Linked DNA regions of Cricetulus griseus. The protein of the gene in region 2 binds, or shares a complex with, the protein of the main gene of each other region. Links are inferred from orthologs where the notes say so. Each region holds a gene or a part of one and is shown on either strand. Other genes may lie near its edges.

Evidence for each region.
Region 1: the proteins of Tgfb3 (region 2) and transforming growth factor beta activator LRRC32 are in contact, whole or in part, in a cryo-EM structure (PDB 8VSB), measured with the Homo sapiens proteins. The link is inferred for Cricetulus griseus from reciprocal best matches to the Homo sapiens genes TGFB3 and LRRC32. Residues at the interface, in NP_001316868.1 of Homo sapiens: Leu24, Ser25, Thr26, Cys27, Thr28, Leu30, Pro347, Pro349, Tyr350, Leu351, Arg352, Thr357, His358, Val361, Leu364, Leu368, Ser375; in NP_001122394.1 of Homo sapiens: Ala110, Ser135, Tyr137, Ser160, Val184, Met186, Asp187, Ile188, Asp190, Phe193, Leu202, Leu204, Arg206, Asn207, Ser208, Thr210, Cys211, Ile212, Ser213, Asp214, Phe215, Ser216, Leu217, Cys227, Asn228, Ser229, Lys254.

What each region holds. Positions count from the first base shown.
Region 1 is NC_048596.1:101,068,466-101,072,840, reverse strand, and holds the start of transforming growth factor beta activator LRRC32, read left to right. Parts: upstream 1-1,275; 5' UTR 1,276-1,515; coding exon 1,516-3,174; 3' UTR 3,175-4,375.
Region 2 is NC_048598.1:117,735,690-117,739,496, reverse strand, and holds part of Tgfb3 (transforming growth factor beta-3 proprotein), read right to left. Parts: intron 3,622-3,807; coding exon 3,458-3,621; intron 3,199-3,457; coding exon 3,069-3,198; intron 1-3,068. UniProt on the Homo sapiens protein: Transforming growth factor beta-3 proprotein: Precursor of the Latency-associated peptide (LAP) and Transforming growth factor beta-3 (TGF-beta-3) chains, which constitute the regulatory and active subunit of TGF-beta-3, respectively.

The DNA.
Region 1 (4,375 bases), on a different chromosome or scaffold from region 2:
GGACACATTTTGTGGAAGGACAAGAGTTGCTGAAAGGCCCATGTTCAAATCCCAGCTCCCTCCATACTGTCTGGGTGACCCTGAGGACTCCCTCACCCTCTCCCACCTGAACTAAAATATGTAATAAAAATATGTAATTATATCGGATCACCCCTATACTGGGTGATCTGACAGGGTCACCAGTCTGAAAGTCCTGGTATATGAAGTAGGTGCTGGGAATGACAAGTTAATTTTAGGGTAAGGACTGGAGTGTTGATGTGACTTAGTGGTCACTCAGTTAAATTGTCATCAGATAATGCTGGTTGGGTCCTGGTATTCCTTTCTCCTGCTCATTCTCCTCCTACTACCTGGCCCCATGATGGACCGCAGGCCACCAGAAGTGGCTACTGATGTGGGGGGTAGGTAGTAGCTGTGGAAAGCATTGTGTCCAGAGCTCACCCCACATCATAAGAGGAATGAGATCAAAGAGGGTGAACCAAATCAAAGCAGCTGGCAGGAAAACCTGCCAGTTTCCCTGTTGCAAGCATGTTTTCCTGATGAAGCTCCTAGCCTGATGCTGTGACTTTATCTGGGATGTGTCAAGGACCTAGAAGTGGACCTCGAAGCTGTGGCCATGGGTCACTTGGCTCTGGGTTACTCTAAGTGTAGCATGGCTTTGTTTCCCATATAACAGGACAATAATCAGCACATATTTATTCTTAGAGCTGTCTACTAATTCTCTGTCTACTGCCTCCCTCCTGTCCAGCACCCACCAGACTGCCAGAGGAAGAGTCAGAGAGAAGCCAGGGGTCATCAGCTCAGTGGAGAAAAAGCTCTAGCATCCTGGGAGTCTGTGGGGAAGCCCCCTGTCTTAGTTAAGGTTTCTGTTGCTGTGAAGAGACACTATGACCATGGCAACTCTTATGAGGGAAAACATTTCATTGGGGTGGCTTACAGTTCAGAGGTTTAGTCCATTATCATCATGGGAGGAAGCATGGCAGCATGAAGGTATACGTGGTGCTGGAGAAGGAGCTGAGAGTTTTTATACCTTAACTCAAAGGCAACAGGAAGTGGTCTGAGACACTGGGCATGGCTTGAGCATATGAGACCTCAAAACCCTCCTCCACAGTGACATACTTCCTCCAACAAGGCCACACACCCTAAGTACCACTCCCTATATACTTATGGGGGCCAATTACATTCCCCATCTCTCTTTCCTAGAGAATCCTGTCCTGTTCTACCCACATGCCCCTACTAATGCCAGCTTCTTGCCACCCTTGCTCTCCCTAGGTGAACAAGGAAGCCTTGTGCCAGGGCCTTGGTCTCCTTCAGGTCCCTTCAGTGCTCTCATTGGACATCCGGGCTCTCTACTTGTCTGGGAACAGGCTGCAGAGCATCCTGGCCTCTCCCTTGCGCTTTTATGCAGCTCTTCGTCACCTGGACTTAAGTGTCAATGAGATAAGCTTCCTCCAGCCAGGAGTCTTCCAGGCCCTGCCCCACCTGGAACACCTCAACCTAGCCCACAACCGGCTCGCCATGGGCATGGCACTGAACAGTGGAGGTTTAGGCCGCCTGCCCCTTGTGACCTCCCTGGACCTGTCTGGGAACAGCCTATATGGTAGCCTGGTGGAGCAGCTGTTGGGTGAGGCCCCGAGCCTGCACACCCTTTCACTGGCAGAGAACAGCCTCACTCGCCTGGCACGCCACACCTTCTGGGGCATGCCAGCCCTAGAGCAGTTGGACCTCCACAGCAACATCCTGATGGACATTGAGGATGGCGCCTTCGAGGCCCTGCCCCAGCTGACCCACCTCAATCTCTCCAGGAACTCCCTTACCTGCATCTCGGACTTCAGCCTCCAGCAGCTGCAGGTACTTGACCTGAGCTGCAACAGCATTGAGGCCTTCCAGACGGCCCCGGAACCCCAAGCCCAGTTCCAGCTGACATGGCTAGACCTAAGGGAGAACAAGCTGCTCCAATTCCCGGACCTAGCCGCATTCCCAAGACTCATCTACCTGAACATATCCAACAACCTCATTCAGCTCCCTGCAGGGTTGCCCCAGGACAGTGAGGACCTCCATGCACCCTCTGAGGGCTGGTCAGCCTCTCTACTGTCCAACCCCAACCGGAATGCCAGCGCCAATCCCCTCTCCCAGCTCCTGAACCTGGATTTGAGTTACAATGAGATTGAGCTGGTCCCTGCCAGCTTTCTGGAACATCTGACCTCCCTGCGCTTCCTCAACCTCAGCAGAAACTGCCTGCGATCCTTTGAGGCCCGACATGTGGGCTCCCTGCCCTGCCTAGTGCTTTTGGACTTGAGCCACAATGTGCTGGAAGCATTGGAACTGGGCACCAAAGTCCTGGGGTCCCTGAAGACATTGCTTCTGCAGGACAATGCCCTGCAAGAACTGCCACCCTATACCTTTGCCAGCCTGGCCAGCCTGCAGAGGCTCAACCTACGGGGAAACCAGGTCAGTCCCTGTGGAGGACGAGTAGAACCAGGTCCCCCAGGCTGTGTGGACTTCTCTGGGATCCCCACCCTTCATGTTCTGAACATGGCAGGGAACTCAATGGAGATGCTCAGGGCAGGCAGCTTTCTCCACACCCCACTTACGGAGCTGGACCTCTCTGACAATCCTGGTTTGGATGTGGCCACAGGAGCCTTGGTGGGCCTGGAGGCATCCTTGGAGGTACTGAAACTTCAAGGCAATGGACTGACTGTCTTGAAGGTGGACTTGCCATGCTTCCGCCGTCTCAAGCTCCTTAACCTTTCTGAGAACCGCCTCAGCCACCTGCCTGCCTGGACACAGGCTGTATCCCTGGAGGTGCTGGATCTGCGGAACAACAGCTTCAGCCTCTTGCCAGGCAATGCCATGGGTGGCCTGGAGACCAGCCTCCGGCGCCTGTATTTGCAGGGCAACCCACTCAGCTGCTGCGGCAACGGCTGGCTGGCAGCTCAGTTACACCAGGGCCGAGTGGACGTGGATGCTACTCAGGACCTAGTCTGCCGCTTCAGCTCCCAAGAGGAGGTGTCCCTGAGCCACGTGCGTCCAGAGGATTGTGAGAAGGGGGGGCTCAAGGACATCAACCTCATCCTCATCCTCACCTTCACAGTGGCCTCTGCCATCATCCTCACCACACTGGCCACCTGCTGCTTCCTCCGCAGGCAGAAGTTCAGCCAACAATACAAAGCCTAGGAGATCCTCTTCCCACTCAGTGTGGAAGCCAGAGGGGCAGAGAAGCTGAGGTCTGACTCAGGTTACACAGTGACCAGGGCCTCAGCTTCCTGCATCCTGCAACATGGACAGGTAGTTGCTTCCTAGGTTGCAGATGTGGTCCAGCTGTGGAGCCCAAGGTGGTGCAGTTTTCAGAGGATACCAACAGGTCTCCACTGAGCATCCCTTTCAGGCCTTACCTTTCTCTGGGCACTAGTGAATGAAGCACGTGCCTATCCTCCGAGACCGTGACCATGAAGTGTGATGGGACTGAGGTGGGGGAGGCCCTGGGCCCCCAGACCTGCAGTCCCCAGCTGGTCATGGAAGAGTCAACCCTGGCTGGCTGTGTTTGTGCAAGAGAGAGCAGAGCCCAAGAGATGATTTGTCTAAACCGTTTCCACACAGAGCTCTGTCACATCTGCTGATAATGACTCTCAGCCTCTCTGGAAATGAAGAACTTGTGACCGGAAGAGAGAGCCAGAACCTCCCCCAAAGGCCTTGAATCTGGGCTCCTAGGCCAGATTCTCAAGTTCCAGCTGAACCAGCTTAAAGTGTGGTCACCTGGACTTCCAGCCAGGCCCAGGGTGGTCTGTGTCCTGCCCTGGACAGGCCCTTCACCCCAGTGTACTCTCCTGTTACACACAATGACCCCAGTGCTGCCTGGATTCCCAGTCCCCAGCTCAGGCCTCCTTCCATCCCAGCCCCGCCCTGGCTTTTGAGCCAAGATGGAGAGCCTCGGCTATCTGGTTCTGTTTTGCACTCAGCTTAGCAGCTGCAGAGGCAAATCCAAGCCAACTCTCAGAGGTTTCTATGTTATCTGCATTATACACAAGAAGAAAACAAGGTTCCTTTAAGAGCCTCATGGCTGAGAGAGATGCCAAAGCCAAAGATGAATCAAACCCATGTCCTCTGATGTACAGGACCTAAACCTTGCCAGTGGGTGCAGTGCCTGCAGGCTGTCAAGTGGACAAGAAGCAGCCCTATCCTAACCAGGATCGGTTCCCTCCTCTCAGGCACCCACAGACCCTGTGCTTCTCTGCCTCAGTGCACCTCGTTCATTTGCAGACCAGTATGAACTCTCCCTTTCTCACCTTGCTCCCTCACTGTCATTCTTCACCCATTAAGCAAGCATAGTTTGGAGTTTGACATTATTGAATGTAATCTCTCCATTGAACAGATAAGG
Region 2 (3,807 bases):
CCGGTGAGAGAGCCCACACTATACTTTTTGTTTGCTGTAAACTAGGGCTCACTATACAGACCAGACCAGCCTGGAAGTGGTTGATCCTCCTGCCTCAGTCTAGTGCTGGAATTACTGTTTGTGCCACCATTCCCAGCTGAGATACTACACACCTAGTTGTCATGGCCAAAGAACAAACAACAAAAGGCACTGTAGATACAATGATCCTCCATTCACTGAGAGGCAAAATGCCTGTGCTTCCTTACCATGCCAGCCTGACACTGGGTACATCCTGCCAGCCTGGCTCTGTATGCCGATAAACTGTGGGCCATATGAGTCATGGCACACTGGTGGAAGGACCTGATTCCCCCTGTCCTGGAGAGAGCTCCAGGCAGCCCTGGGCCTCAGCCTGGGTACCTGGAGCACACCGGCTTGCAGATGCTTCCTGAGTGACTCCCAGACTACAGGTGTGACTCAGGCTTCATCAATCCACACCATCAGCTGCTCCAACTTGGAGTCTGTTTGCAGCCTGGTTTGAGGCCATGAACTCTTGAGGAGGCTTGTGAACAAAGGCCTCAGCTACTTCCCCTGAGGGAAGGGAGGGGTGGCAGAATTTGCCTACGTGTGAACTGAAGGTTCCAGAGAAAAACAAACCTCAGAGTTGGCAGTGGTGGGGTTTATTATAAAATTATCTTTTCTGATGTCTCAAGGAGGATGGAAAGCATGTTCTACACAAACTTCTCATTGAGTTCCACAGCTGTGGACACAGGCATTCCAAGTGCCCAGGGCTTCAGGAAGATCCAGGTGGAGCTGATCAAAACCAGACAGGCAAACTAAGATGAATTCCCCCTTGCCCCCCCCCTTTTTTCCTGGCCCATGGTAAGTTCTGAGTGGAGAGCTGCCTGAATCAGAGGTGTGTTGCTGCCACCATTGGCTGAGTCCTGTTGATTTTCACAGGTGTTATCCTCCTAAATGGGCCTGGGAAGGGTCTCCAGCCCACCATGTGTCAACTCTGTTGTTGTCCCTCAAGGTCCATGGATGGGAGCTTGAAGACTTGGATGCCTAAGAGTACAGTGGATTATGGAAGTAGGAAAGTCCCGTTGGAGCCTCACCCACAGGGAGCACCGAGGCACGGGTTAGAAACAGTGTGCACAGCACATTTCAAAGGGTGACTACTGCTCAGCTCTGGTACAGGGTCAGGGGCCAAGCTTCCAATTAGTCTCAAGAAGTCAGCAATCTTTGTTGGGTTGGGTTTTGTCGTTGTTGTTTGCTTTTGTTTGCTTGTTTTTTTTCTCTCTATATATACAGCCCTGACTGTCCTGGAACTAATTATGTAGACCAGGCTGGCCTCGAACTCAGAGATCTGTCTGCTTCTGCTTCCAGAGTGCTGGGCTTAAAGGCATGTGCCACCACACCTAGCCCAGCTTTCCGTGAAATCTCCCAAATTTTAAAACAGCAAAAACCCTGCAAAAATGTAAAGGCAGGCAGCTTGTGACCTCTGCCTTCAACCATACTTTCCTCAAACATCAAGGACATGGAAGGGTTCTCCTGCCCCAGGACTCTGGCTGCCAGTATGTAAATGGAGTAACAGTATCACAGCTGATGATGGTGGGGACCAGGAAGAACAGATGGGACCCTATATGTAACCCTCCTACTGCCACCTCCAATACCTTCACCACAACCACCCCCACCTCCATTAACACCTCCTCCTCCAACCACCACCACCACCAACAACAACCACAACCATCCCCACCACCTCAACCACCACCACAAAGCTGTCAGAGCAGGAAGTACCAACATGGTGTCAGGAGACACCAGACTATCATCACTCGGGGGACAAAAGTTCTAATCCAGGCTGGATAAGCTTAGTCGAAGAACTTGATCACTCCGTACCTCAGCTTCCTTATCTGACATAATGAAAACTTATTCTTACAAGATGCATTGAAACCCTCAAAGTTCCCTCAAATACACATGACCCTTAAGACCGCTCTGGGAAGCCTGCAGGCTGGAAGCAGTACTTCAATTTCCAGATGAGGAGTCAAGGTATGTGGGGATGACATCTGGGACATGTGACATTTGATATACCTGTTGTAGAGTTCAATGACACTGGGCTTTTGAAACTCAATTGGTCTACACAGAACCTGCCCTGAGTTTCTTCTTCCACTCTCCCTTCTTCCAACAGCCGGTGATACCTCCTGGATGTCCTGCCTAAAGCCTTAGATGTCATCTGAGAGTGCTCCTGTGTCTTCACACAGCATACCTAATACTAGCCTATTGGCTCAACCTCCAAATTGCAGAATGAATCCGTGTGATTTCCATATTCACTTCGATGCCTCTGTCCAAGCCCCTGCCACCCTCCTCTAGGCTGCTACAATGCTCCCTAAATGTCTTCCTGGCCTTTCCCCTTTACTTCCCAGAAACTGGAGGGCTTCTGTTTAAAGGGGTAAGCCACATCATTGCACCCAAATGCACACCTTGCTAATAGCATTCATCACACTCGGAGTAAGCCCCAAACCTTCCTGTGGTCTGATACATACTTAGCCAGATGGCCTTGGCTCACGGCTTTTCAGTCTGTTCACAGCTGCTACAACAAATCAAGCTAGGTTCCAGCCAGGGGCCTGGGCCCCACTGCGTCTTTTGCTTAAGTCCCCCTTTAGCCTGGCCTCCTGACCTTAAAGGGCTAGCTCCTTCTCATCACTTGGATCACAATATCAGACTCCCTTCCCCATGGAGACCTCCTCGAAGCAGCAGTGTTGGAGCACCCAGCCATCATCCCCTTGATTCTTTAGTTTTCAGTGCGTTATCACAGACTGACATGCCACTTTCTCAATATGTTCACTGCCACCAGAATGTCTGCCACCAGAATGAAAGCCCCATGGGATCTGAGCTCTCACCTGTCTTGTTCACTGCTGAACTTAGAGGGCCTGACTTAGAGCCAGCATTTAATGATGAAGTAGAGAACAGAGCCACTAGCAAAGCTAGACTTTGAATCCAGTTATATGGCTCCACTAGTCCTCTCCTCTTCCCTTTCACGGGGCAAAAGGGACCTGAGGTTCCTTCTGAAATGTTCCTGCTAGGAGTTTACCTACCTCTCCGCAACAGCCACTCACGGACAGTGTCAGTGACATCAAACGACAGCCACTCAGCAGTGCCCCTTGTGGGCAGATTCTTGCCACCAATATAGCGCTGCTTGGCAATGTGCTCATCTGGTCGAAGTATCTGTGAGGCAGAGGAAAGAATGAATGTCTAAGACCAGGCCAGAATACCAGGAATAGGTTATACTGCACAGGACTGGTGAGCCAAGCAGGGGGTGACTAAAGCTTTCTGAACACCATGCCCTTTGTGCACCTCAGGTAACTCAGCACTCTTAATGACAGAGGCTCTGAGGGGTCAGCTTCAGACCAGGTCTGTCAGACCCCACGCTCAGTGGAGGCCAGGAACTGGCTTCCGGTATGTGGTTTCCAGCTGGAAGAGGTACCTGGAAGAGCTCAATTCTCTGCTCAGTGCGCTTGGAGCTGGGGTTGGGCACCCGCAAGACCCGGAACTCTGCCCGGAACAGATTAGTTCCATTTTTCTCCACTGAGGACACGTTGAAGCGAAAAACCTTAGAGGTAATCCCTTTGGGGCAGACAGCCAGTTCATCTAGAGGGAAAAGCAATGGGGAGAGGCACAGTGAGTGAGCGCCCAGTGTGCTGCCAGGAGATACATGCCAAGGGGCCCCAGTCCTGTCTATGACCTCCCCAGAAGCTTGAGGCCAGAGATCTGAAGGTGGAGATGCAAGGAAGATTTCTGGTGATTTCAGAGTCATGCAGAATCCTGAGCAAGGAG